3 linked regions of the Anolis sagrei genome follow. The protein of the gene in region 1 interacts with the protein of each later gene in a biochemical or structural test. Links are inferred from orthologs where the notes say so. Each region holds a gene or a part of one and is shown on either strand. Other genes may lie near its edges.

The links.
Region 2: the proteins of PRKAR2A (region 1) and AKAP1 form a complex in vitro, tested with the Homo sapiens proteins (2 studies listed by BioGRID, with this or other methods). The link is inferred for Anolis sagrei from reciprocal best matches to the Homo sapiens genes PRKAR2A and AKAP1.
Region 3: the proteins of PRKAR2A (region 1) and RAB32 interact in a test that uses a peptide from one of them, tested with the Homo sapiens proteins (2 studies listed by BioGRID, with this or other methods). The link is inferred for Anolis sagrei from reciprocal best matches to the Homo sapiens genes PRKAR2A and RAB32.

Annotation. Positions count from the first base shown.
Region 1 is NC_090022.1:28,674,269-28,684,339, reverse strand, and holds the start of PRKAR2A (cAMP-dependent protein kinase type II-alpha regulatory subunit), read right to left. Parts: upstream 6,828-10,071; 5' UTR 6,691-6,827; coding exon 6,420-6,690; intron 1-6,419. UniProt on the Homo sapiens protein: Regulatory subunit of the cAMP-dependent protein kinases involved in cAMP signaling in cells. Type II regulatory chains mediate membrane association by binding to anchoring proteins, including the MAP2 kinase.
Region 2 is NC_090031.1:20,964,560-20,974,630, reverse strand, and holds the start of AKAP1 (A-kinase anchor protein 1, mitochondrial), read left to right. Parts: upstream 1-3,051; 5' UTR 3,052-3,202; intron 3,203-10,071.
Region 3 is NC_090021.1:74,907,634-74,917,704, reverse strand, and holds the start of RAB32 (ras-related protein Rab-32), read left to right. Parts: upstream 1-4,014; 5' UTR 4,015-4,339; coding exon 4,340-4,631; intron 4,632-10,071. UniProt on the Homo sapiens protein: The small GTPases Rab are key regulators of intracellular membrane trafficking, from the formation of transport vesicles to their fusion with membranes.

The sequences.
Region 1 (10,071 bases):
TCTGTTCACTGTTATGGATGGAACACCCTTATTCTCTTTATTCTAAAGTTGAGGATTCTCAAACTCTCCTTAGGGTGTGCTATGCAGTCCAAGAGGCCTACTACAAGGCCTCTTACCCACAGAGAAAAATGTAACAGAATAGGTTAATTTGTCATTATGGTATTGCACAACAAAATTACATGCCTTCCTCTGTACACACCACAAAGCAACACACCCATCCCTCTACATCCCTACCCCCACCATATAGCCCCCAATGCCACATTTATTTATTTATTTATATCCTGCTCTTCTCACCCTCACAGGGGACTCAAGAGTGACATACAAAACTGCTAAGTTTAATGCTGCATATTCCACATCATAAAATACAATGCATCAAAGCAACAGATAATTAAAATATATAAATATCATAAAACTATTAAAACATAAAACCCAGTCCTAAGGTCATTATTTCCATGCTACATTGTGCTGGTTTTGTATTGCACTACCCAAATACCTGATTACAAGGCCAGCTCTTCACTTTTTTTCTAAACATCAGGAAGGAGGGGGGCAGACTGATATCACTGGGGAGGGAGTTCCATAAATGAGGGGCCACCACAGAGATCCTGTCTCTCATCCCCATCAGTCACACTTGTGATGGAAGTGGGAACGAGAGCAGGGCCTATCCCTTGGATATTAACACTCTAACAGGTTCATAGGGAAACACACGTTCAAACAGGTACATTGGACAGGAGCCATTTAGAGCTTTATAGGCCAAGGCCAGCATTTTGAATTGTGCTCGGTAGCAAACTGGCAGCAAATATCAGTATGAAACCACAGACTTCAACTTAGCCACAGCTCTAGGATAAAAGCTATCCTTCAGTTTGTCCTTGACCCCGTACTGTCTGCAAAGCAGCAATAATTCAAAAAAGGAATATGCTGGGTGAAATGGATACTCAAGAATGCTCTGAGTTTTCTTATAGGAGCGGGAATTATAAAGTTCTTCCAAAGAGGGAAGAAGGCAACCAATGATTCACTATGCTGAAGAGGTGACCCTTTGGAGTGCCTTCCTATCTGCCACTGTGAAGCTACCAAACCATCCGCTGGTTAGGACACTCTCTACAGCACAACGATAGAAAGTTACCAGCAGTTTTTCATTCAGTTGGTGGTTCCTTAGGAGTCCCAGGTAGTACCGGTCTCTGCAGGGCCCTCTTAACCAACACTGCTGTATGGGTGCCCCAGTTCAGATTCTCCTTTACAGTGACACCTAGGAATTTAAAACTGGCCACATGCTCCACTTGGTCTCCATTTATGACCAAGGGCTGAATTTCTGGTCTGTCCTTCCTATAATTCACTATGAGCTTCTTGGTCTCACTGATGTTAATAACCAGATTATTGTCCCTGCACCACAAGAGCAGCTGATCCACCTCATCCTGATAGGCAGACTCATCCCCTTCAGAGATAAGCCCCACCACAGCTGTATCTTCTGCGAATTTTGTAGATTGAGTGGCTGGGGTTGGAAGATTTCTCCTTTTTAAACTTTGTACACATATGATTGCATCCCATCCACCATGATATTGCCATGGTGGACGGGATGCAATCATATGTGTACAAAGTGAAAAAAGGACAAATCTTCCAACCACAGCCACTCAATCTACATTTCACTCCATCCTGGCAGTTTACAGGAACAGAAGTTGTGGAAGGAGCTAAGCTAGCTCCACAACACAGGGATGAGATGGAGAAGTGCTTTGTCAACCAACATCTTGCAAAATGCAAGCAATAACATAAGGGTACAACACTCCATACTCTCATGATGAAAACAAAGGAGAAGGAAAACTGTGTCCAGTTCTAGGGACTACAATTCAAAGATATTGACAAGCTAAAATGTGTCCACAGAAGGACAAATAAAATGATCAAAGGTTTGGAAATGCAAGTCCTATGGGGAATGACTGGATATGTTTTGATTGGAGAAAAGTAGGTTGTCATGTTTAAATATTTGAAAGGATGTCACATTGAAGAGGGGGAAAACTTGTCTTATGCTGCTCTGATGAATATGATATGGAGCAATGGATTCAAACTGCAAGAAAAAAATCTACTTAAACATTAGGAACAACTTCCTGATGTTCAACTGTGGAGTATTCTGCCTCAGAGTATGATGGAGTCTCCCCCTTCTGAGGTTTTTAAGTAGAGGCTAGGTGATTCTTGTGGCCTCTTCCAACCCTATGATTCTATGACAACATGACATTTTTAGCATGGTTTTTGTGGATTTCCATTTACTTTTTCTAAAACACTGGAGAAAGGCAATTAAATGCTATTGAAAACCAGTTACATAGGTGCCATCTGATAATGGAAGCTAAGTAGGGTCATTCAGCCCTGGTCATTCAACCCTAGTATTTTAGAGTCCATTTCAGAGGCATTAACTCCCAAAGCTACCTCAAAGTGCTCCTTGCTTAAGAAAACCCTATGAAATTTATAGGATCATCATGGGTTTACAAGCAACTTGAAGGTACACAGACATACATACGTAGTAGTTGCATCACAGTCATGTTGTCTGTACACAAATCTGGAAGCCAGTTTGGAAATATGTCTAGCCTCTGCATTTTACTTTGCCAAATAGGTATCCGCTTATTACATTTCCATTCACCAGAAGTGAAAATTAGTGGCTACTTTTGTCAGTCCTAGGGAATATTACTGTCATGTTTATCTGTCAAATTCTATCAGTATCTTTTTATTAAAAGATTACAGAAAGTGTATGGGGAATAAAAGCACAACCTGTACTACATAACAACACAAAGCACAATTCCTGCCAAATCCTCTCATCTTGTACAGATTCTACTGAATCTCTTAAAGGAAAAACGTCCCCTAATGAAAAATGTAAAGGATAGTTCATTCAATACTCATTATAATTCTGTAAGATCGTGATGTTTTTCCTCTGAGTTTAATTAATGTGCATTTTAAACATGCAGCACTGTACCAATCACACCAGGGAATAAACCCTGTATCATTTCATTTCTTCAGTTTGAAAACTGATTATATCCTACTACTTGTAGTCAATAGTTCAACAACACAGAATTCCATTTTTCTTATTCTGGTAGTTTCAAGTAATTTCTCTACCTTGTTCTCTCCTTTAAGCTACCTTCAATTCTGTTTGGAGAAAGGGTAGGTATAAATTAAATAGTATTTCCATTTCTCCCCACTATACAAAGTCATAACTCTTCACTCATACTTCTATACTTCCAAATCAAGAACCAAAGCCATACACAACCTCATCAGTTCAACCATCACCAGTCAACAATTTATCTAAAAATTACTTTCTTTTGTCTTATTATAATTTGAAATGAAGAATACCATGAATCAAACATATCCAAGGTTTGTCAACAGACATGGGAAGTGAACAGTATTCTCCAAGAATTCCTGGTCCACAATCCTGGCTGCCAACTACTGTATATCCTTCTTTACTCTTAAGAATAATCATCAAAAGTATGCTTTAAATTTTGACATAACGAGGTCATGGGAATATCCTGAAGCCTAATCCAAACTTTGTCCTGAAATTGGCTCTTCCATCCTATCTAGTACAGAACTAGAAAGTAAATTCTCTGAGCTTTCAGTCGATTTTTAAGTTCTATGTCTACAGTTGAACTGTAGACATAATCCCATTGGTACCTGCTGGGATTAGATTCCAGCACACTCCTGTAGATAGGAAAATCCACACACGCTCAAGATCCTTTATATAGATTGATACAGAAATATATACTTTAATATTTTAGGCAACGGGTGATGGAATCTGTGGATACAGAGAGGTGATGACAATCTAAGTGATAATTGTATGCTTTCTCTTTGGAAAGTGAGATTTAAATACATAACCCTCCCCCCTTCAGAATATTCTAACAGGACAAGAGAGATGGGAAAAATTAACACAATTGTTCTCTTTCTTTAAAATCTACCCAACACACTGTTATACATTTTCCTAAATGCTCAGAAGTACAATTTGCAAGAAGTTCCATTATTACAAGCCAGAGTAAAATTTATTTATTTATTTATTTACGGCATTTATATGCCGCCCTTCTCACCCCGAAGGGGACTCAGAGCAGCTTACAAGATAGATAGATAGATAGATAGATAGATAGATAGATTCCGACCCGGGGAAGTGAAGAGATTCCCTAACTATTCAACCTTTCTACAAAGAAACTGCTACTTGTGCGTTCCTCTCCAACCTCCCCAATCTCCCTAAAAAGATTCTAACCACATTAGTGCAAACCCTGGGGGAATGAGAGTCTTCTCTACTACATATGAGAGAAATCTATTATATACACACCCATCCAACAGGGATTAGGACAACTATACAACATGCAGGACCCATACCACACATAGGGATTGTTATGTACATTACTGCAGCACTGAGGTTAAGATTCCCCACTCCACAAAAAATAAGTGACAGACAGAGAAAGAGCATGCACGTGGGTGTGGAAATAAAATCCACATAGGACACATAATGAAAGGACTATGGAACAGGGAAGGCATTATTTCCTTGGACAGAATGGTGAGTCAAAAAAATAAAGCTTGTTAGCTGGCTGGAGAAATAAAGGGGACACACACGCACACACAAAGCATCCATATTCACTGCGCTTTTTCTCATCATACAGACAAGGTCACACCTCCTATTCCCTGCGCAAAGAAACCACTCACACAACCGTCTAGAGATCTTGCAGTCATTCCTCAACATTACTTAGTCAGCACATATAATGTGCATATACACCCTCTTTCCACCATATATGTATACACACACACACATATACACACACAGCCCTCTCTAAACATATATACAAACCTCTATATATACACATATACACATCTCTATTTATATACATTCGTACACATACCTTCTCTCTCCCCATATGTATATGTGTGTGTATACACCCATATATATATATATATATATATTACACATGTACACACCCCTCTATTTTATAGTCATACACATACCTCCCTCGCACTTTCTATCTATACATACTATTTCCTTTATAATCACCTCTCTCGATTGATATATATTCTTACACATACCTCTTCTCTCTCTCTCTCTCTCTCTCTCTATATATATATATGTATAAACAGACACCTCTATATATACATATACAGCTTCTTCTTTCTCTATATAATCACACACACTATTCTCTCTATATATAAATTGACACATCCTCACCGACCCACTTTTTAAGCTTCACGTAAATCTATTTGTCAAAATATATGATCTGGTGCTATACACCTCTATAGGTCTCTCTATATAGACACCTCTCTCTCTCTCTCTCTATAAATATATATATATATATATATATATATATACATATACACACACAGATATATAAACACACACCTCTCTCTATATATATGTGCGTGTGTGTGTGTATATATACACACACATCTCCATACATACCTCTTTACATAAATACATTCATACACCTCTCTCTCTATATATATACACATTCATGCACCTCCCTCTCTCTCCCTCTCTCTCTCTATATATATACACTTACACCTCTCTCTCTCTCTCTATATATATATATATACACACATACATCTCTCTACATATTAATAGATCCATACACCTCTCTCTCTCTCTCTCTATATATATATACACATACAGCTCTCTACATATTAATACATCCATACACCTCTCTCTATAAATATATACATGCATACACCTCTCTCTATATATGAATACAACCATATACCTCTCTCTCTATATATACACATACACCTCTTTCTATATTGATACATTCATACACTTCTATCTCTCTCTATATATACGCATACACCTCTCTCTCTATATAAATACATCCATACACCTCTCTCTCTCTCTATATATATATACGCATACACCTCTGTCTCTCTCTATATATATATATATGCATACACCTCTCTTTATATAAGTACACTCCCCCCCCCTCTCTATATATATATATACAGAGACACATACACCTCTCCCTATACATATAGTTTTAGAGAGATACACACTTCCCTCTCTCTACACACACATACAAACATCACCTTTCTTCCACCGTGGAGCTCTGAAGAAGTCTCCCCCAAGCCCACAAACGTGCAGGCCTTTTTTCTTTGAAAGCCACCGGTCTAGAGAAGGCAACCGAGTTCTCGTGGCTTTCCAGAGGCACATTTCCGAGGCGACCCGTTTGGTCCAACAAGGGACTTGAGAAAGGCTGCCTCTCTCCCGCCTCCCTCCCTCCCTCCCTCGCCCGCCTGAGGCAAGACGCAATAATGAGAATGATGATGAGGATAACACCAATAATAATAATAATAAAGAGTGCGCCATGAAATAGCCGCGAGGAGGGGAGGGAGGCAAGCAAGCAAGGAAGCAAGCAAGCGGGGCTATTTTCTATTCTGAGCGCCCTAGGCCGCCCTCCTCCTCCTCCTCCTCTTCCCTGACTCACGCTCAAAGTCCGAGTCCGAGTCTTCGGCTTCCCTGCGCTCTTCCTCGCCGTTGGACTCTGTCTGCATGGGCTCCCCGTCGAAGAGGACGCCTTTGCCCCGGGCGGAGGCCGCTGCCGCCGCCGCTTCCCTCAGCTGCTGGTCTCGGCTGTCCCTCAGGCGGCAGAAGTAGTCCGCGGCGAAGCCCAGCAGGTCCGGCGGCCGGTGCCTCAGCACCTCCACCGTGTAGCCCTGCAGCAGCTCCGTCAACCCCGGCGGAATTTCGATGCTCATCTTGGCGCCGTCGAAGGGAGGCTCCGCGCCCGCTGCTTCTCTCTGCCCTTCCCTCCTCAGACTGAGCCGTTACGGGAGCCGGCACGCGCGCGACGGAGAGAAAGGGACGGAGCGGGGGAGGGGCCAAGCGCGGGCGCGCAACAGCGAGCAAGGTCTGCGCATGCCCAGCAGGAAGCCGCGGCGCGCGCCCAGGCAGGGAGGAGGTGTGTGAGATGGGCGGGGCTACAAGAGGAATAGGGGGCGTGGCCTCCTATGGGGAGAAGCAAAAGGACACTAAGGCATGAGGGCTACATGCGGTGCGCATGCGCAGGAAAAAGTCGGCGCTGCGCTTGGTGGGCGGGGCTAGGGAGGAGGAGTGGGCGTGGCCTAGAAATGGAGAGGTTCCTCAAGCTGTAAAAGGAGGCGTGAGCGCTATGTGACGGGTGTGCTTGCGGTGCGCATGCGTAGGAAGAAGCCGCGGAGACGGTCTGGAGAGGCGTGTGGTGGGCGGGGCTAGAGAGGAGGAGGCGTGGCCTAGACATGGAGAGGCGCGTCAAGCTGCAAAAGGAGGCGTGAGCGCTATAGACGGAGAGTATGCTTGCAGTGCGCATGTGCAGGAGGTAGCCGCGCAAAAGGTCCAGTAAGCTGTGTAGCCCCCAGTGGCGCAGTGGGTTAAACCCCTGTGCCGACAGAAATGAAGACCGACAGGTCGCAGGTTCGAATCCAGGGAGAGGCGAAATGAGCTTCTCCCTCTATCAGCTCCAGCTCCTCATGCGGGGACATGAGAGAAGCCTCCCACAAGGATGATAAAACATCAAATCAGACTTGCAGACTGCCAATTCTCTCACACCAGAAGCGACTTGCAGTTTCTCAAGTCGCTCCTGACAGGACAAAAAAAAAGCTGTGTAGTGGGCGGGGCTATGAATTAATTGGAGGCGTGGCTTCGAAGGGGAGAAGCGAGCACGCTGAGAAAGGACTAAGGCGTGAACGCTATAGACAGCGAGTGTGCTTGTGTTGCGCATGTGCAAGAGGAAGCCGCGAAGATATACAGTGGTGGGCGGGGCTAGGGAGGACTGAAGGATTGTGCGTCACGGGACAAAAGGAGGCGTGAGCGCCACAGAGAGGCAGAAATGTTCTGCGCATGTGCAGAAGGAACCCGCGGAGAGGGGGCGGAGGATTAGAGGTGTGTCTGTGAGCGGGGCTATGCAGAAGTTGTGGGCGGGGCCTCGAGGGAGGTGTGAAATGGTGAGCAGGGGAAAGAATGCGTCACCAGACAAAAGGACTAGGAGGCCAAGTGCGTAGTGCGCATGCGTGGAAGGTTTGACAACTAACTCATGGCTCAATCAATGCTATTGTATTGGAGTGGTTTTACAAGGTGTTTAGCCTTGTCTCTCAAAGAGTGCTGGTGCCTCACAAAACTACAAATCCCGTGATTCTATAACCATACTGCTCGAAAAACTCACAGCAACCAGTGATTCCAGCCATGAAAGCCTTTGGCAACACATTATTATTAGTATTTCTTTGATTCCTTGCTTGAGTTCAGGTTAACTATTCTTATAATATAATATATTTTATATACATATAATATTTATAATATAATGTAATGCATTATAAAACTAATACTAATAATATATTATAATTTTCTTTGTGTGTGTGTGTGTATATATATATATATATATTTGTCGGGTCAGGAGCGACTTGAGAAACTGCAAGTCGCTTCTGGTGTGAGAGAATTGGCCGTCTGCAAGAACGTTGCTAAGAGGATGCCCGAATGTTTTGATTATTTTACCATCCTAGAAGGAGGCTTCTCCCATGTCCCCGCATGAGGAGCTGGAGCTGATAGAGGGAGCTCATCCGTGCTCTCCCCGGATTCAAACCTGCGACCTGTCGGTCTTCAGTCTTGCCGGCACAGGGACTGAAGCCACCAGGGGCTCTGCGCCACCAGGGGCTCCAATTATATATTTATATTACATGTCATATTACTAATAATACTACAATATAATGGTATAGTTGTTGTTGTTCATTCGTTCAGTCGTCTCCGACTCTTCGTGACCTCATGGACCAGCCCACACCAGAGCTCCCTGTCGGCCGTCACCATAGTACAATATAGTATATGGTATAGTACAATATAGTAATATTTAATACTGATATTGTACTATGCTAATAATATAGTGAGTGTGTGTGTGTGTGTGTGTGTGTATGTATATATCTTATAAGTCACCCTAAGTTCCCTTCGGGGTGAGAAGGGTGGCATATAAATGTTGTAAATAAATAAATTAATTAACTGATAATCTACTGTATAGCATTTCTGAATATGTGATTAAGCTTAAAAGAACTTTTCCAAGAAACAGACCAAAGAGCAGACCCTTTGTCAAATTAATGGCATTTGCCTGTAATGTGCAAGCTGGAGGAGCTTTTCCCTGCAAATTTGGACCTTTCGGAAGCTCCTAATTTTCCAGATTTATTTCACAGCTTTAAAATCTGAAATTTTATCTCACAAGAGGAGAATTGCCTATATTTTCAGTGTAGCATTTGACATGAGGATGACACATTGGCACACTTCTGGTTTTTAATCATTAGGTCTCAGAAAACCCTTTGAAATTCATGGAGTCGCTTTAAGCCGACAAGTGACTTGAAAGCATAGTATTCATAAGAATTCATCCCAAATCACTCTTCTTTGTATTCTGTTTTTTCCCTTCCAGACTAGGACTCAACTATTGTGTATTGATGGATGCCTGGTATTCATCTTGAACCAAGCAACCAGAGTGGGTGCAAAATATATATCTGTATATTTAAATCTATTTGAACATTTATATTCTGCAAGTTTTTAAATTGGGTCTTTTTTTAAAAGGTTGTGTGTCATTTAGGATCTTTGTGCCTGAGATGAAATAAATAAATAAATAAATGATGTATAAATAATTATATTTATAATCAGTTCTTAATAATAAAAACCCAATTCAGCACTCAGAGGAAAGATTTTCGAACTGTTTGTCATGACACATTCGTGTATTTGTTGCAGTGAGTAGATGTGTCACACAAACATTTGAGTTATGTGAAATAAGCCATAAATAAATATAACTAAATATAATGAAATGTTTTCATGAGATACGTTGTGTGCTGGTACAGTTGTACCAGGAGCTCCAATTCTGTTTGCTTTGCATTAAATGTTTGTTTGCAATCCCAGGCTTGGGATTTTGCAGCAGGGTGGCTTCCTGTTATCGTTTGCAATCATAGGGCAAACCACCTGTCAATTATCGTTAGGTTCCCTGGTCCCGCCCCTTTTTGAGTTTTGGAGGGAATAGGAGCCTTTTTGAGTTCAGTCCACACAGAGCAGCTTTCCATGCAGGACATAATACCAAGAGCTCCTGTAGAAAGCTTCGTCTTCTACGGCTTGGCCGGGGA
Region 2 (10,071 bases), on another chromosome or scaffold:
GGGGTGGCTCAACCCAATACGCAAAGTAAACATTTGCAGTATAGTTGATTTTGCTCAGGCGCACTCTTGGGGGGAAATAGACCTTGACATATGTGAGTTGTAGTTACTAGGATGTATAGTTTACTTACAATCAAAGATCATTCTGAACTCCACCAATGATGGAATTGAACCAAATATGGCACACACAACTCCCACAACAGACAGAAAATATATATCAATGATTGGTTTGGGGGGGGGGGGTGCCAAAATACTGTTTGCTTACCATTGAAATGGTAAGCCCCCGGTGGTGCAGTGGGTTAAAGTACTGAGCTGCTGAGCTTGTTGATCAAAAGGTTGCAGGTTCGATTCCGGGAGCGGCGTGAGCTTCTGCTGTCAGCCCTAGCTTCTGCCAACCTAGCAGTTTGAAAACATGCAAATGTGAGTAGATCAATAGGTACCGCTCCGGCGGGAAGGTAACGGTGCTCCATGCAGTCATGCTGGCCACATGACCTTGGAGATTATTTATTTATTTATCGTGTCATCCGCAACCAGAACATTGTATTACATTTCTAGCAGAACAAAACAAACAAACAGATTAAAAAAAACAAATTTTGCAAACTTGGTAGCTGATTAAATGTCCCTTGACCAGTATCTGGCCACTTGGAGTGCTTCTGGAGTTGCCGCAAGAAGGTCCTCCATGGTGCATGTGGCAGGGCTCAGGTTGCATTGCAGCAGGAGGTCAGTGGTTTGCTCTTCTCCGCACTCGCATGTCGTGGATTCCACTTTGTAGCCCCATTTCTTAAGATTGGCTCTGCATCTCGTGGTGCCAGAGCGCAGTCTGTTCAGTGCCTTCCAAGTCGCCCAGTCTTCTGTGTGCCCAAGTGGGAGTCTCTCATCTGGTATCACCCACGGATTGAGGTGCTGGGTTTGGGCCTGCCACTTTTGCTGAGGTGTTCCAGCGAGAGTCTCTGTAGATCTAAGAAAAGTATTTCTTGATTTGAGTCGTTGACATGCTGGCTGATACCAAACAAGGGATGAGCTGGAGATGTCACTGCCTTGGTCCTTTCACTATTGGCTGCTACTTCCCGGCGGATGTCTGGTGGTGCAATACCGGCTAAGCAGTGTAATTTCTCCAGTGGTGTAGGGCGCAGACACCCCGTGATAATGTGGCATGTCTCATTAAGAGCCACATCCATTGTTTTAGTGTGGTGAGACGTTTTCCACACTGGGCATGCGTACTCAGCAGCAGAGTAGCATAGCGCAAGGGCAGATGTCTTCACTGTGTCTGGTTGTGATCCCCAGGTTGTGCCAGTCAGCTTTCGTGTGATATTGTTTCTAGCACCCACTTTTTGCTTGATGTTCAGGCAGTGCTTCTTGTAGGTAAGAGCACGGTCCAGAGTGACTCCCAGGTATTTGGGTGCGCTGCAATGCTCCAGTGGGATTCCTTCCCAGGTCATCCTCAGAGCTCGGGATGCTTGTCCGTTCTTAAGGTGAAAGGCGCATGTCTGTGTTTTAGATGGATTAGGGATCAGCTGGTTTTCCCTGTAATGGGCAGTGCGGCTGGCGGGTACGAGAGACAGGGCCTTTTCTGTGGTGGCCCCACGGCTATGGAACGCCCTGCCCTTGGAGGTAAGATCAGCCCCTTCATTGATGATATTCCGAAGAAGATTGAAGACCTGGGTGTTTAAGCAGGCATTTGGTTAACCCAATGCAACGAATGGTAACTGACTAAAGGACTGGCAACATGGATGACGAACTGGATCACGTTTTTAGTTAAGAGTCGAACTGGATTGGTATTGATGTATGAATTGTGTTTTTATGTTTTTTATGTTTTTTATGCTTTTAACTGTATACTGTTGATTGTTATATTATGTTGTAAACTGCGTTGAGTCGCCGGCTAGGCTGAGAAACGGCGGTATATAAATATAGCAAATAAATAAATAAATAAATAAATAAGAGCACCTAGAGCTTCGGAGAGCTTCTGTTCTGCCATCTCAAAGCTCCCTGCTTGAGCAGTAATGGCACGATCATCAGCATAGATGAAACTCTCTGTCCCTTCTGGCAGTGGCTGGTCATTTGTGTAGATGTTGAACATGGATGGAGCAAGCACGCTCCCCTGAGGCAGGCCGTTCTTCTGTTTCCGCCATCTGCTTCTCTGGCCCTGGAACTCAACAAAAAAGCTCCTGTTTTGTAGCAGGTTTCCTATGAGGCGGGTGAGGTGGTCGTCCTTTGTGATATTGTACATTTTTCTCAAGAGGAGGCGGTGGTTCACAGTCTCATAGGCTGCGGACAGGTCTATGAATATAGCTCCTGTGATCTGCTGACTTTCAAAGCCATCTTCTATGTGCTGAGTCAGGTTCAACACTTGCGATGTGCAGCTTTTGCCTTTCCTGGAGCCAGCTTGCTGTGGGATCAGACATGGGAATCAGACACCTTGGAGGTGTCTACGGACAACGCTGGCTCTTCGGCTTAGAAATGGAGATGAGCACCACACCCCAGAGTCAGACATGACTGGACTTCATGTCAGGGGACTACCTTTATCTTTTTTAGCCAGATTTTGTTCATTTAATGGTTTCACCCTTTCTGACAAGAGTCCTTTGCCCCACCCTGGTCATTCCACAGATATATAAACCCATTTTCCTAGTTCCAACAGACCTCACTACCTCTGAGGATGCTTGCCATAGATGCAGGCGAAACGTCAGGAGAAAATGCCTCTAGAACATGGCCATACAGGCCGAAAAAACCTACAACAACCTATTGTATGGTCCTTTCTCGTCTTACTCCATCAGTTCTGGAAGCCCATGTGTAGAATTAATTCAGTTTGATACCACTTTTGACTGCCATGGCTCAACACTGTGGAATTATACTACATCTCCCAGGGTCCCATAGCACTGGGTCATGAGAAAGCGGGTGAAATCGTTGCGCGGTCCCTCCTCGTCATTCCTTTGAGCCTGAGTCGGGTCACGCATGCGCAATGGGCAGCCTTGTCCTGCTCCCAGGGAGGGAAAGGGAAGTCTCGCGCGGGCTGGGAGGGGGTGGGGCGGAGGGGGCGGGGCGAGCGGGGCCTTAAAGGCGCGGTGGGCGGGGCCAAGAGGACGCTGTGTATTTTGGTCGGATGCCTCAGCGTTCTGAAGGGCCCCGGCGGGCGGGAGGCAGGGAAGGAAGGCGGCACGTGGAGCGGAGCGGGGCCCGGGCCCAGGCCGAGCAGAAGCCTCCCAGGACGGTGAGAGGGGCCTGCTTTGGGGCCCTTGCGCGCCCTTCCGGTTCTTCTGCCTTTGCCCCTTGGCGGGGGGGGGGTGTGTGTGTCAGTCTCAGCCCTTTAGTATTGTTGTGATACTACATACAAGGCTTGGATTTCCAACCAAGTTTGCAGGAGGCCCCTCTATTGGTATTCTATTACTATTAATATCATTACTGTGTTGTCTAAGGCTTTCATGGCCGGAATCACTGGGTTGCTGTGAGTTTTCTGGGCAGTATAGCTATGTCCCAGAAGCATTCTCTCCTGACGTTTCGCCCACATCTAGGCCTCCTCAGAGGTTGTGAGGAGGGGAGAAAGGTCTCTTGTCTGCAGACAAGAATGGCCTTGCAGCTTCAAAGCCTGGCTGCTTCCTGCCTGGGGAAGAACCCCAGGTTGGGAGGTGTTAGCTGGCCCTGATTGTTTCCTGTCTGGAATTCCCCTCAGAGATTGTGAGGAGGGGAGAAAGGTCTCTTATCTGCTGAAGGTTGCAGCAGACAAGAATGGCCTTGCAGTTTCAAAGCCTGGCTGCTTCCTGCCTGGGGAGGAATCCCAGGTTGGGAGGTGTTAGCTGGCCCTGATTGTTACCTGTCTGGAATTCCCCTCAGAGGTTGTCAGGTCTGTTGGAAACTAGGTAAGTGGGGTTTATATACTCGTATATATACTAGTTGTCACCTGCCACACACTGCTGTGGCCCAGTCTGTTCCAGAAGCATTCTCTCCTGATGTTTCGCCCACATCTTTGGCAGGCCTCTTCAGAGGTTGTGAGGAGGGGAGAAAGGTCTCTTTGCTGAAGGTTGCAACAGACAAGAATGGCCTTGCAGCTTCAAAGCCTGGCTGCTTCCTGCCTGGGGAGGAATCCCAGGTTGGGAGGTGTTAGCTGGCCCTGATTGTTTCCTGTCTGGAATTCCCCTCAGAGATTGTGAGGAGGGGAGAAAGGTCTCTTGTCTGCTGAAGGTTGCAACAGGCAAGAATGGCCTTGCAGCTTCAAAGCCTGGCTGCTTCCTGCCTGGGGAGGCATCCCAGGTTGGGAGGTGTTAGCTGGCCCTGATTGTTTCCTGTCTGGAATTCCCCTCAGAGATTGTGAGGAGGGGAGAAAGGTCTCTTATCTGCTGAAGGTTGCAGCAGACAAGAATGGCCTTGCAGTTTCAAAGCCTGGCTGCTTCCTGCCTGGGGAGGAATCCCAGGTTGGGAGGTGTTAGCTGGCCCTGATTGTTACCTGTCTGGAATTCCCCTCAGAGGTTGTCAGGTCTGTTGGAAACTAGGTAAGTGGGGTTTATATACTCGTATATATACTAGTTGTCACCTGCCACACACTGCTGTGGCCCAGTCTGTTCCAGAAGCATTCTCTCCTGATGTTTCGCCCACATCTTTGGCAGGCCTCTTCAGAGGTTGTGAGGAGGGGAGAAAGGTCTCTTTGCTGAAGGTTGCAACAGACAAGAATGGCCTTGCAGCTTCAAAGCCTGGCTGCTTCCTGCCTGGGGAGGAATCCCAGGTTGGGAGGTGTTAGCTGGCCCTGATTGTTTCCTGTCTGGAATTCCCCTCAGAGATTGTGAGGAGGGGAGAAAGGTCTCTTGTCTGCTGAAGGTTGCAACAGGCAAGAATGGCCTTGCAGCTTCAAAGCCTGGCTGCTTCCTGCCTGGGGAGGAATCCCAGGTTGGGAGGTGTTAGCTGGCCCTGATTGTTTCCTGTCTGGAATTCCCCTCAGAGATTGTGAGGAGGGGAGAAAGGTCTCTTGTCTGCTGAAGGTTGCAACAGGCAAGAATGGCCTTGCAGCTTCAAAGCCTGGCTGCTTCCTGCCTGGGGAGGCATCCCAGGTTTTTAGGTGTTAGCTGGCCCTGATTGTTCCCTGTCTGGAATTCCCCTCAGAGGTTGTTGTCAGGTCTGTTGGAAACTAGGTAAGTGGGGTTTATGTACTTGTATATATACTAGTCGTCACCTGCCACACACTGCTGTGACTCAGTCTGTTCCAGAAGCATTCTCTCCTGACGTTTCGCCCACATCTTTGGCAGGCCTCTTCAGAGGTTGTGAGGAGGGGAGAAAGGTCTCTTGTCTGCTGAAGGTTGCAGCAGACAAGAATGGCCTTGCAGCTTCAAAGCCTGGCTGCTTCCTGCCTGGGGAGGAATCCCAGGTTGGGAGGTGTTAGCTGGTCCTGATTGTTTCCTGTCTGGAATTCCCCTCAGAGGTTGTCAGGTCTGTTGGAAACTAGGTAAGTGGGCTTATATGCTCGTATATATACTAGTCGTCACCTGCCACACACTGCTGTGGCTGAGGCTGTTCCAGAATTCTCTTCCAGAAGCATTCTCTCCTGATGTTTCCCTCACATGTATGACAGGCATCCTCAGAGGTTGAGGGGTCTGTTGGAAACTAGGCAAGTGGGGTTTATATATCTATGGATTCATATAATGCATATTGTATATACATATAATATTTATAATATTATAACCATAGAGTCATAGAATCCTAGAGTTGGAAGAGACCTCATGGGCCATCCAGTCCAACCCCATTCTGCCAAGAAGCAGGAATATTGCATTCAAATCACCCCTGACAGGTGGCCATCCAGCCTCTGTTTAAAAGCTTCCAAAGAAGGAGCCTCCATGACACTCCGGGGCAGAGAGTTCCACTGCTGAACGGCTCTCACATAATGTAATGCAATATAATACTAGTAATAATAATACAATATTATAATTGTAATATTGTTGTCATTGTTTTTAGAGTTTTATTGTTTTTGCTTGATGTTTTATTATTTGCCTCTTTTTAAGCAGAGGGCCAGGTCACAGTCCCTCAAACTGTTGGAGGGCCAGATTATAATTTGGAGAAAAAAATGAATGAATTCCTATGCACACTGCACATCTCTTATTTGAAGTGCAAAAAACACTTTGAAACAATCCAATAATTAAAATGAAGAACAATTTTAACAAATATATACTTATTAGTATTTCAATGGGAAGTGTAGACATGCTTTTGGCTGATGAAATAGGGTGGTTGTTGTTGTTGTTGTGGTTGTGTGCTTTCAAGTAGTTTCAGACTTAGGTTGACCCTGAGCGAAGGCTGGGTAAATGACCTTGGAAGGCTGTATCCGGCCCCCGGGCCTTAGTTTGCGGACCCTAACTTTACAGAATTTATATGCCGCCCTTCTCACCCTGAAGGGGACTCAGAACGGCTTACAAGATATATATATATATATATACATACAATATATTATATTATTAGCATAGCACAATATCAGTATTGTTTATTACTGTATTGTACTATACCATGATATTGTAATATTATTACTAATATTACATATAATATAAAATATATAATTATAATATTGCATTATTATTTATATTATTAGTCTTAAATTGCATTATATTATAATATTATAAGTAGGATATGTAAACAATATATTATATTATATTATATTATATTATTAGCTTAGCACAGTGGAATGATGTCCAGAGTGGGAAAAAGAACTTTTGTCTGTTGGAGGCAAATGTTGCAATTGGCCATCTTGATCAGCATTGAATGGCCCTTGCAGCTTCAAAGCCTGGCTGCTTCCTGGATAGTAAATAAAGAGCAACACTAAAAAAGGGGGGGAAATTCTGACAGGAAACAACCAGGGCCAGCTAACACCTCCTAGCAAAGGATTCCACCAGACAGGAAGCCGCCAGGCTTTGAAGGTGCAAGGCTATTCAGTGCTAACCAAGGTGGCCAATTGGAACATTCCCACTTGCCTCCAACAGACAAGAGTTCTTTCTCCCATCCTGGACTCCCCCAGGCAGGAAGCAGCCAGGCTTTGAAGCTGCAAGGCTATTTAATTCTAACCAAGGTGACCAATTGGAACATCCCCACTTGCCTCCAACAGACAAGAGTTCTTTCTCCCACCCTGGACTCCCCCAAGCAGGAAGCAGCCAGGCTTTGAAGCTGCAAGGGTATTCAATGCTAACCAAGGTGGCCAATTGGAACATTCCCACTTGCCTTCAACAGACAAGAGTTCTTTCTCCCACCCTGGACTCCCTGCAAGGCTATTCAGTGCTAACCAAGGTGGCCAATTGGAACATCCCCACTTGCCTCCAACAGGCAAGAGTTCTCTCTCCCACCCTGGACTCCCCAGGCAGGAAGCAGCCAGGCTTTGAAGCTGCAAGGCAATTAAATGCTCACCAAGGTGGCAAATTGGAACATTCACACTTGCCTCCAACAGACAAAGAGTTCTTTCTCCCACCCTGGACTCCCCAGGCAGGAAGCCATCAGACTTTGAAGGCTATTCAGTGGTAACCAAGGTGGCCAATATTAACATTTCCACTTGCCTCCAACAGACAAGAGTTCTTTCTCCCACCCTGGACTCCCCCAGGCAGGAAGCAGCCAGGTTTTGAAGCTGCAAGGCTATTCAATGCTAACCAAGGTGGCCAATTGGAACATTCCCACTTGCTTCCAACAGACAAAGAGTTCTTTCTCCTACTCTGGACTCCCCAGGCAGGAAGCAGCCAGGCTTTGAAGCTGAACGGCTATTCAATGCTAATCAAGGTGTCCCGTTGCAATAGTCACACTTGCCTCAAGCAGACAAGAGTTCTTTCTCTCCTCAGATACATAATCCCCACTTGCCTAGTTTCCAACAGACCTCACAACCTCTGAAGATGCCTGCCACAGATGTAGGCGAAATGTCAGGAGAGAATGCTTCTGGAGCCTGGAAAACTCACAGCAACCCAGTGATTCAGGGCATGAAAGTCTTCGACAACACCTTTTCCAAAGTGCCTTCCTTGGAGCGTTGTGTGGCTTTAAGGACCCCTCCCCCTCAAAAAATGCTCAGATTTTCCTCCTTTTCACAACTTTTCAGCTTGAACGACTATACTTTGCATTGTGCCCAGAAATGTATGAAGAGACCCGGTTGAGAAGAAGTGTCTTCTGTGCCTTGGAGGGAGCCTTGAGTCACCCTTCCCTCGGCTTCACCTTTCACCCAGCGGCATTGTCATTAACATGCCCTTGGCCGGCCTGCCTTCCCCTCGCTCTCACTCTCGGCAGGTTTACTATGACTCCATTCCCTCCGAGTAGAGACTGAGTATCGCAATCCAAAATAGTTTGAACCAGAATAGCGTTACTTGCATTTGTTTTCCCGTATAGTGCATAAGATGTGTGTGTGTGTGTATATATATATATATGTGTGTAACAACTAGCTGTCCTCTGCCATGAGTTGCTGTGGCCCAGTCTGTGTATATGTGTTTTGTGTTTGTATATATTTGTATATATGAGTTTGCGTATATATATATATGTGGTTTTGCGCATGCGTTGTAATGTATTTTTTGTGGGTTTTTTGGTGTTCTTATGAGTGATCGTCACTCGTTGGTCTGATTGGTGTATTTTGTCCAAATTTGGTGTCAATCCGTCCAGTGGTTTTTGCGTTGAGTTAATCCCACAAACGAACATTATATTTTTATTTATATAGATTTATTTACGACATTTTTATGACGCCCTTCTCACCCCAAAGGGGACTCAGAGCGGCTTATAAGATATATATACATACAATATATTAAATTGTTAGCACAGTACAATATCAGTATTATATAGTACTATATTGTTTCTGCCAACCTAGCAGTTCGAAAACATGCAAATGTGAGTAGATCAATAGGTACCGCTCCAGCGGGAAGGTAATGGCGCTCCATGCAGTCATGTCGGCCACATGACCTTGGAGGTGTCTATGGACAACGCTGGCTCTTCGGCTTAGAAATGGAGATGAGCACCACACCCCAGAGTCAGACATGACTGGACTTAATGTCAGGGGACTACCTTTACCTACCTTTACCTATATTGTACTACACCATTATATTGTAATACTAGCCGTCCCCTTCCATGCCGTTCTGTGGCCCACATGGGGGTTCTGTGTGGGAGGTTTGGCCCAATTCTATCATTGGTGGGGTTCAGAATGCTCTTTGATTGTAGGTGAACTATAAATCCCAGTAACTACAACTCCCAAATGTCAAGATTCTATTTCCCCCAAATTCCACCAGTGTTCACATTTGGGCATATTGAGTATTCGTGTAGAGTTTGGTCCAGATCCATCATTGTTTGAGTCCTCAGTGCTCCCTGGATGTAGGTGAACTACAACTCCAAAAACAAAGGACACTGCCCACCAAACCCTTCCAGTATTTTCTATTGATGATGGGAGAACTGTGTGTCAAGTTTGGTTCAATTCAATTGTTGAATTGAACCATCAAAGAATGCGCTTTGATTGTAGGTGAACTATAAATCCCAGCAAATGCAATTCCCAAATGTCAAGGTCTATTTTCCCCAAACTCCACCAGTGTTCATATTTGGGCATATTGAATATTTGTGCCAAGTTTGGTCCATATCCATCACCGTGTGCACCGTGCTCTCTGGATGTAGGTGAACTACAACTCCAAAACTCAAGGTCAATGCTCACCAAATCCTTCCAGTACTTTCTGTTAGTCGTGGAAGTTCTGTGTGGGAGGTTTGGCCCAATTCTATCGTTGGTGGGGTTCAGAACGCTCTTTGATTGCAGGTGAACTATAAATCCCAGCAACTACAACTCCCAAATGACAAAATCATATTTTTTGAGTGAAGGACATACATTGGGTTGTTAGGTGCATTGTGTCCAAATTTAATGTCAATTCGTCCAGTGGTTTTTGAGTTACGTTAATCCCACAAACGAACATTACATTTTTATTTATATAGATTATTAGTAATATTAAGTGTAATATAAAATATATAATTATAATATTGTATTAGTAGTAGTAGTATAAATAAATAAATCAGTGGTTCTCAGCCTGTGGGTCTTAAGATGTTCTGGCCTTCAACTCCCAAAAATCCTCTAATAGCTGGTAAAGTGGCTGGGATTTCTGGGAGTTGTAGTCCAAAACA
Region 3 (10,071 bases), on another chromosome or scaffold:
TTCTTCAAGTTGTATGACCACTGCATATTTTTATTCTATATGTCTACATTTCTTTAAAAAGCACTGTATAACTCTTCCCCAGTTCACAGATAATTATGACTAGCTCATCTCCTTAAAAACCCTTTGGGGGATCAGGAGGAAATTTTAATTGTCTTCCTGTCCACTTTTCATCCCAATTCAGTAAGTGCATCAAGTGAATTTGGATTAAATAACTTTATAGTAGCAACAGGAGCTTGACAAATTATGGAGGTTATGCTGCTCATGAAAAGAACAAATAACCATAGAATTTTTTTCCTGGAAACTGGTAGAGATGGATTTCCTAAAGACTTGAGAATGCACAATGTGATGTGTTTCCAACCTATGTGATAATCAGAGTCAGTTTTAGCTGGCTGAGATAAACGTCCAGACAGAAAGGATGCCCAAGACTAGAACAGCAGTTCTTGTCTTACAAAAGAAATTTGGAGAACATGCTCTATATCAGCAGACTGGCTGGAGATGATGCATCCCTAATCACACATTTTCTGTTTCCAGGTGTTTGGTTGTCATGTGCCTTCAGATCATATCTGACAACCCTAAAGTGAACATATCCCTGGATTTTCTTGCCACAATTTGATCAGTCATTATGGTCTTTCTCTGAGGCTGAGACAATGTAACTTTTCAAACTATTCAAACTCGGATCTCCAGAGTTCTAGTCCAACATGCAAACTACTACATTACACTGAATGTGGGGTGCTTATTTAAAGGCTTCTGGATTTTGTTTGAGCCAAATGTCTGAGAAAGTTTGCAGGAGAGTTAAAGCAATAGAAATAAAATAAGGAAACATATGCACATACTCAGAAAATGCCATTGGAGTTCACTTAAAATGATATTCAATACAAATTTACACATTTGCCGAGATAAAACAGCTAATGATGTAAGAAAAACACAAGGCAGTTAGTGATTTTTGCAGTTTTGCATGGAAGCATATGCCTCAACTTCACAATTCACCATACTCATATGTTAACTAACAGTATTCTGGATGACAGTAATTTCTGAAAACTGTGATGATAACAAGTATCAGTTACGAATGATGATTGTAGTGAATGTTTGGTTGAGGCTTGCTCTAAATGTTATTGGTACTTCACTGATCAGTCTTTCTCTGTTATTCTACATGATGTCCAATAGTGCTTATTTTATTATTCTTGTTTCAAGCAGTCTTTCCAGTATTTCTTGTTGGCCATGGGAGTTCTGTGTGCCAAGTTTGGTTCAGTTCCATCATTGGTGGAGTTCAGAATGCTCTTTGATTGTAGGTAAATCCCAGCAACAATATTCTCAAATGACAAAATCAACCCCCCCCCCCCCAACCCCATCAATATTCAAATTTGGGCTTATCGGGTAATAAGCATCATCATCTTCATCTTTATTTGTACGCTGCCACCATCTCCCCAAAGGGACTCAGGGTGGCTCACAGAAACACTCCAAATGCCACATGCAGACAACAATACATAAGTATAAATACAATGGCATAAGTATTATCAACAGTGCCTAAAATCTCATTAATAAAATTTTAGGAAATTGAAAATTATAAATTATAAATTTGGTCCAGTGAATGAAAATACATCCTGCATATCAGATATTTACATTATGATTCATAATGGTTATGAATCAGTTATATTATAGTTATATAGTTATAGTTATATTACAGTTATATAGTGGCAATGAAAATAATGGTTGGGGGACACCACAACATGGGGAACTGTATTAAGGGGTTTCAGCAATAGGAAGGCTGAGAAACACAGATTTAGAGCTTCTTCTGATTCTTAAAATAATCTTCTGCATGTTGAAAATGTACTAAAAGATGCTCATAACAACATCAAAAATGCTTACATAAATGAAATAGTGTTAAAAACTATTTGCCTAACGGTTATAGTGCACAACACCAGACGTATGTCCTATGTGAATAGTTAGTCAAAAGGAGCTACATTGGTCCCCAGAGCAGCCAACACACCAGTACTTCATTGGGGGGGGGGGGGCATTTGATGCAAAATTAAGCACTTTCCAATAAGACTCCATCTAATGGTCTCTAGGTAATTTCAATATCAGAAGGAACATGAACTAGAGCTAGTCAGGGTTCTGTTCTTTCAGGCAAAAATTGACTACAAAGAAAAGTCGAGAATTCAATATTGCAGGATTCTCCACTAAATTGTTCTTGATTAGCTTTTAGTCCAGAATCAAACTAATTTAACCAATCATTTCTGAACTTTGGCAGTATTCAAATCTGTTTTAAATACTACAGCTCTGTTTCTTTAAAAAGAAAAGAGGATCACTCTTCTGAGTTAATTACAATGATGCAGAGAACACTGTATCACTTCTGAATTGAACAGCAATATTTACACTCCACCAGAAGATTATAGTATGTGTTTTAACCTCAACATATTTATATGAGCCACTTGACTATGCAACAATATAGCAACATTTTGTTCAAGCTGGTTAATCATTCTTTTTACCCCCCAGAATCATATGTGTAACAGTTGATACTATGAAGCAGAAAAATGTCATCTCAGGAGCAAACAGGTTTTTCATATATATCTGTTCATAGTTTACCAAGTCTTGACCTGTTCAATGCTGATTGCTAAAGTAAATATATGAATCATTTATGAATCAGTTAAAAATGACCTATAAACCAATTACATGGTTTATAGAAACACAATTCCATTCAATATGGCCAACACTTTGATTTCATTACAGTACACCAGAGTAATCATTGCGAATAATTAGGTGAAAGGGTTTTTGAAAAAATGTGAATAAGCAACTTGTCTTCCAAAACCTTTTGGATCCTACAAATATATTTTCTAGCTCTGAAGCCTAAAGCAATATCGAGAAACAAGAAGGAACGTTGACTGGGCATACACTTCAACTGCATTGCCTACAGAGGATGAGCAAACAGGTAAAGTGTGACAGGACATCCCTTGAGTAGCTGTAGGAAGTAGCAGTCACAACCTACTAATTCTTTCCTACCTGGAAGCATGTTGTTTCACTTGTAAGTGTTGTAAATATGCTCCGTTGTTTTAATTGTTACTGTGGCTTTGTAGAATAATCAGTGATTTTATCAACTTCCTGGTGTTTTAGCTACAATATTGTGATATGGCCTAATGCAGAAGATGGTTCATTAAGGTTGCACCATGAATTATTGCACTGGGTTCCTTTAGTAGAAGCATGGGCAAACTCCCCCCCCCCCCCGGTGTTTTGGACTTCAACTCCCAGCATTCCTAACAGTCTCAGGCCCTTTCTTTTTCCAAGTTTGTGCATGCTTGCTTTAGTACAGCATTTCTCAACCTGGGGGTCAGGACCCCTGGGGGGGGGGGGTTGAAAGGGGGATGTCAGAGGGGTCACCAAAGACCACCAAAAAAAACCCAGTGTATTTTCTGTTGGTCATGTTGGTCATGGGGGTTCTTGTGTGGGAAGTTTGGCCCAATTCTATTGTTGGTGGGGTTCTGAATGCTCTTTGATTGTATGTGAACGATAAATTCCAGCAACTATAACTCCCAAATGTCAAGGTCTATTTTCCACAAACTCCACTGGTGTTCACATTTGGACATATTGAGTATTTGTGCCAAGTTTGGTCCAGATCCATCATCCAGCAACTAAAACTTCCAAATGACAAAATTAAGCGTCTGAGGGGGGGAAAGGAAGGGGCACTTAGGCTGTTAGGAATGGTGGGAGTTGAAGTCCAAAACACCTGAAGGGCCGACGTTTGCCCATGCTTGCTTTAGTGCCTCTTTCCTGTGCCACCTGGGATGCCACCTGTAGAATGAATGCCGCCTGACACCGCTGGCTCCATGCTATGGGATCCTGGGAGTTGTAGTTTGGTGAGGCACCATCCCTTTCTGGCAGAGAAGGCAGACCAATATATTTGCAGGACTACAGCCCGGAGACAGGGCAATTCAAGCGCTAGGAGGGAAGAGGAGAGTCAGGGTGGCTCTTGTCCGCCTCCCCTTCCCTGCTGAAGCGGCCTTGGGCCCAAGGCCCGTCTGGACGCCGCCTTCCGCTCTGCTCCGCATCCGGGCCGGGGCGGGCCTGCTCCCTCCTGCCTGGCTTCCTCCGCCCCTTTCGGGAGTTTTATAACTTGCGGGGTTTCTTCCGCGTCCTGTGACTCCAAGTCAGGTGGTTGCTTCCTCGCCTCTTGCCTTGCCTTCCCCGGTTTGGGTAGGCGAAGCGGACAAAGAAAGTGGACCGAAGTCAGGCAGAGAGAGAGAGAGAGAGAGAGAGAGAGAGAGAGTGGAGCGGGCGGCTGGGTCTCCCTCCTTTGCTCGCCTTCTTCCCAAGTGTCAGGTTCTTGAGAAGTTTGGGAGAGTGAGAAATGGCTGGAGGAGAAAGAGGAGCCGGAGGAGGAGGAGGAGGAGGGGGAGGTGGGAGTAACGGCAGTAGTAGCAGCAGCAGCAGCGTTTCGGGGGCCTCGGAAAGCCGGGAGCATCTCTTCAAGGTGCTGGTGATCGGGGAGCTGGGCGTGGGCAAGACCAGCATCATCAAGCGCTACGTCCACCAGCTCTTCTCGCAGCACTACCGGGCCACCATCGGCGTGGACTTCGCCCTCAAGGTCCTGCCCTGGGACAGCCGGACCCTGGTCAGGCTCCAGCTCTGGGACATCGCCGGTGAGGAGCGGGACCCTTGGCCGGGGGAGGAGGAAGGAGGAAGAGGCGGAGGAAGGGAGCCAGCCCCCAGCAGGGCTCCTCGTCCGGCCCCGGGGTGGATAGATAGAGGGCTCTTCTCCTTGTCTTCCTGGTGGGAAGGGAGAGGAAGGAGGCAGGGCATGCCCATGGTGTGGGTTTGCAGCAAGACCCAAACGCTAAGGAAGTGCCCTGTGGTGTTTGTGTTGCTGCCTGTTCCCTTGTTCAGAAGACTTCACCTCATTTTCTGTCCCTGTGATAATTGGATTTGGAAAAGTGTGGCTTGTTAAGGAAACAAGGATTGGCGAGAAAGCTTCAGTGGAGAGCCCTTTTCCCTATGGTTACTCTTCCAGAAAAGAATTTCCCTTCAAAGGGGCAGATTTCTCTCACTTCTTGTGGTCTCACCCCTGTTCTTAACTCTGAGCCATTTGTAAGTCAGATGTTTGTAACCCAGGGACTGCCTGTACAGGTGAAGCATCCTCTGCACAGTCTTCTGTAAACATTGCTCAACAGGTTTGTGTCAATGTCTAAAACAGCTACCAGGTGACCTTCAAAAACTTTTAAATGATTCCAACATTGAGCTAAAGCAGAGCTTTCCAACCTTTCTTTTTGAGCAGGGACCACCTTGACCAGGGACCACTTTGACCAGGGACCTCTCTCCAACATTAGAATCCTAGAATCCTTGAGTTGGAAGAGACCTCATGGGCCATCCAGTCCAACCCCCTGCCAAGAAGCAGGGAAATTGCATTCAAAGTACCCCCAACCGATTAGTACCAAAAGGGTTATAAATCAGTTTTTGGTCAAGTTAAGATTCGGTTTGAGGTGCTGCTTCAGAAAATTGCATTGGATAGACCACATCAGCTCTAGTTTCTGATACAGAGCATATGGTATGGTCAGCAACAGGGAAGCAGTGGCAGGCAGCGCAAAAGGAGTGGAAATACAATAACTAAAATAAAATTAATAAAGAGGGAGGAGGCTCACAGACCAGATATTTATTCTCATGGCCCACTGGTGATCCGCTGCCCACAGATTAAGAACCAGGGATCCCACTTGCCTATCAAAACCTATAGGTCAGTGGTTTTCATCCTGTGGATCCCCAGATGTTTTGGCTTTCAACTTACCAGTTAGCTGGTAAACTGGCTGGGATTTCTGGGAGTTGTAGGCCAAAAAACCTGGGGACCCACAGGTTTAGAGCCACTGCTAGCCTATCAAAACCTATGCCAGCTTTCCCCAACCACCACCTCTTCTCCCTTGATGATATTTCTCGTGACCCCAGGTATATAGGCATAAAAACCAAATAAGAAACCAGCATTTGCAAGGCTTGCTGAACAAGCTGCTTTTCCTTTTTGTAGAGTACACAAAACATGGATTTTTAAGTAGGCTTTTGGCCTTGAGTAAGCTGAAATGGGCCCATATGAGGTTGACACTTTGGCACTTTAGTTGTGATTTGAAGGCAGCTAGTTTTAACTACAGATGGTCTACATTTTAAACTGTGTTTTTCTTTTTTTATGGGTTAATAGTCATTGTTTGTATAACTTTTATGTGAGATTGTTTTTATACTCTTGTACTGTTGATGTTATATACTACACTTGTAGTACCTTGGGAGATGGTGGCGGGATATAAATAAAGTTTATTATTTATTATTATTACAGCTGAAGCATTTTCTGTTGTGTAAGTGGTTGGTGTTCAGAAACCTTTTGCTGTTGCCACACTTCTCGTGCCCCCATTTTTGAGCCAAATGGGATCCCGTTTGTGACTGGGACCCAGAGTGTAAGAAGCCCTTTTCTATTTCAGCTGGTCTCAAAGGTGCTGCAACATCCTTTTGCAGTGGGAAAAATGGAAATTTCCTTTGAGCAAATAATACAATTTGTGGAAATGACAGTCATGTCCTGTGTTAAATCTTTAGCAATGTATTTGTGCAACGCTCCTTCGCTATGGGGGTGCTCTGAAGCCTAGCTTTTGTGGCATAGGCATTTGTACAATGTTTGTGTGGTTTGTGTTTTCAAGTCAGCTGCCAACTTACAGTGACCCCATGAATTTCATAGAGTTTTCTTAGGCAACGAATACTCAGAGGTAGTTTTGACAGTTTCTTCCCCTACAGTTTCTGGTATTCTTTGTGTCTCCCATCCAAGTACTACCAGAGTGGACCCTACTTAGCTTCCAAAATCATTTGGGATCTCCTGTGTTTAGAGCAGAGTTTCTCAAACTGTGCTCCTCTGGGATTTTTAGACTTTAGCTGCCACAATTCCTAACAGCTGGTAAACCTTCTCTAGTCCAGTGGTTCTCAACCTGTGTGTCCCCAGGTGTTTTGGCCTACAACTCCCTAAAATCCCAGCCAGTTTACCAGCTGTTAGGAATCCTGGGAGTTGAAGGCCAAAACATCTGAGGACCCACAGGTTGAGAACCACTGTTCTAGAGTACTGTGTTTGCATGTACCAGACTGCAGAATGGGTTTTCACACATGATGTATCCCTTTCTATACAGAAGTGACGTTGAGCTAGGGAAAATACAAACATAGAGGCCCTAAGATCCAATGAGCCATGGCATAAATGTGGAAGTTTGGCAAAAGCATTAGATTTGCAAAGCCTTCATTAACTTACACAATGTGCTGGATATTGCTAATTGTACGACTGCATGTATGTGTGTTTTATTGTGTATGTTTTAATCTGGTTTTGATTTGGGGGGGGGGGGGATTTTTTAATCTTGTTTTAAGCTTTGTGTCTTGCTGGTTTTGAGCAATGCCTTTTTTAGTTATTGGAAACGTCTTTGAATCCTGATCTGGGAGAAAGGCAGGATAGAAATAGAGCAATGACAACACATTTCTATTAAAAATTGAACTTTTGTCTTTGAAAAGTTCTTGCTTTCCCAAACAGCTGCATGAAGAGTCTAGTTTCAAAAAGTTAAACTCTTCCTTGTATTTTTGTGAATGCATTTTAGGTCTTGAGTGCACATGTACAGCTGTTAAGGAAAGAAAACATTTTCTGTTGTACCAGAAATTAAACAGGAGGGAATGCTAGTTGATAGATTCTAAGGTTTTGACAAAGGACCGCATCACACAAGAGAATGAATCCAGTTTAAATCTGGTTTCTGCCTCCTGCAGAATTCTGGGGTTTGTAGTTTAGTGAGGCTGTTAAAGGCTTCTCCCTAAACTACAAACCCAAGAATTCTGCAGGAGGCAGAAACCGGATTTAAAGTGGATTCATTCTCTAGTGTGATGAGGGCCATAGAAAGGAACTTTTCCATGTTCTGTATTACACTTTTCCAGATGTTCTGAATGACAATTGAATAGTAGAAAATTCCTTTGTATCTATGTTGTTCCCAAACTCTAAGGATTTTGGAAAACTATTTAAAATAGTGTATTTTTAAAATGTAAGTGATCTTGTACATTCTGCAGTACTCACTAACTTTAATAACAATGGGAGCTTTCTTTAACAGTCTCCCTTTAACTTCTGGCAACTGTTAAGTTGCACAGAGCTTTTAATGTGGCAATTCTTCAGTTGCATCACCACCCTGCAGTGAGCATCCCGTGTAAGTTATGGTTTTTCCTGGAAGAAGTGTCTTCCTTTCATTTAAATGCCTTCTTTGGTTCCTCTTTTCCCTAGTTTGGAGAATGGTCGGCTTCCATTTTGACCTGCTGTTAGGATTATAAACCATTTTATACAGCAGTAAAAGGCAAGAAAGGGTTTTTTTTTTGTCTTCTTTTGCCAAGTTGACAATCTTCCAGTATGGGATCAGCATTCTCTTCTGAACACAGTTATTTTGAGGAACAGCCATTATTTCTTGTAATGAGAGCAAGAGGATTAGGGGCAAAAATGCACATTTAATTCATTCACACTAAGAGTACTGTAGAAGCATTGCTTTCCTCCCTGTAAGTTGGCTGTACAGATACAACATCAAAATCACTTTGGAGCGGAAGAGCTTGGTCAGTGGCCATCCTTGCTGGGAGTTCTGGCCATTGTAGTCCAAAATGTAACTCTTCCAAGCTCTGTTTGTAACATGTTTGAACAAGAGAGCTTCATATACAAAAATGCATCATACTTTAACCTGGGTACAAATGAGCAAGTTGCTCAACAAAACATTTAACATATTACCTGTAAAAGAGAACAGTGATAACTGAGTTGGTAAGCCTGTCCTCCATAATATGAGCATCTATGGGTAGGTTTTGTCATTTAACCATGAAATACTAATTTAGGTTGCCACAACTGTCACCATGTTGCCAATAGAAAATGTTGTATCATCCCCCAGCCCGAGCCCAGAACTGTGTTTCTATTTCAGACTACCGGCTGTCTGTTTGATGGTTGCTTTATATTGTGTTATGTCATTGTTGTTTTATTTTGCTTGTTGACGTTTTTATGAATTTTAATGTGTTATTTTAACTATGTTGATTGGGCTTGTCCCCATGTAAGCTGGCACAAGTCCTTTGGGGAGATGGAGGCAGGATACAAAAGTAGTAGTAGTAGTTGTTGTTGTTGCTGTTGCTGTTGTTGCTGTTATTATTATTATTATTATAGCATTAACATGGTATAGCACAGGCAGGGGCAAACTTTGGCCCTCTAGGTGTTTTGGACTTCAACTCCCACAATTCCTAACAGCTGGTAGGCTTTTAGGAATTGTGGGAGATGAAGTCCAATAACACCTGGAGGGCTGAAGTTTGCTCATGCCTGGTATAGCACTTGTGATTCTGCTACATGTATTTATACAATTCATCTTTAAAACACACACAAAGTGCCACATTTAATTCCTGTGTTACTGCCTAATGCAGAGATGGGATTCCTGAGGTCCTCCAGATAATGTTGGGTGGAAGCTCATTCTTTTACCATTGATTGTGCTGGCTAGGATTTTTGGGGAGTTCAACAGCATCTGGATTGCAACATGCCGGTGATTTGATCAGGGAGGAAGTTTACAAACACAACTCTTCAACAGGGAGTTAGAGTGACAACACACACACACATACACACACATGGCTGGAAGTGAGTGCACCCTCCAAGATGCTGAAGATGGGACAGCCTATATATACCTCTGTCGATGTACTGTTGTCTGTATTGTCAGTGCATAACATCATTGAATGTTTGCCGTATATGTGTTCTGTGATCCACTCGGGGTGAGAAGGGCAGAATATACATACTGTAAATAAATAAGCAAATAATAATATAGGTTTTCACAGTAAACCTGCTTTTTGTGCCCATTCCGCTCCTTCTTCCTAGCTAGTTGAAATAATTTAACAAAATTAGTATGGGGGAAAATGTGCAAGAGAACTGGAGAAAACCAGATTGTCAGTATGGGGTTGCAGCAATGGGTTTATAGTAAACAATGAGGTAAACAAGGTTGAACTGGAAAACAGTAGGGTTCTACTCTACCCTATGGTGCTGGAGTCCTGCACCTGTCCCTGCAATATGCAAGGTGCAACAGAAACTGCTTCCAGATT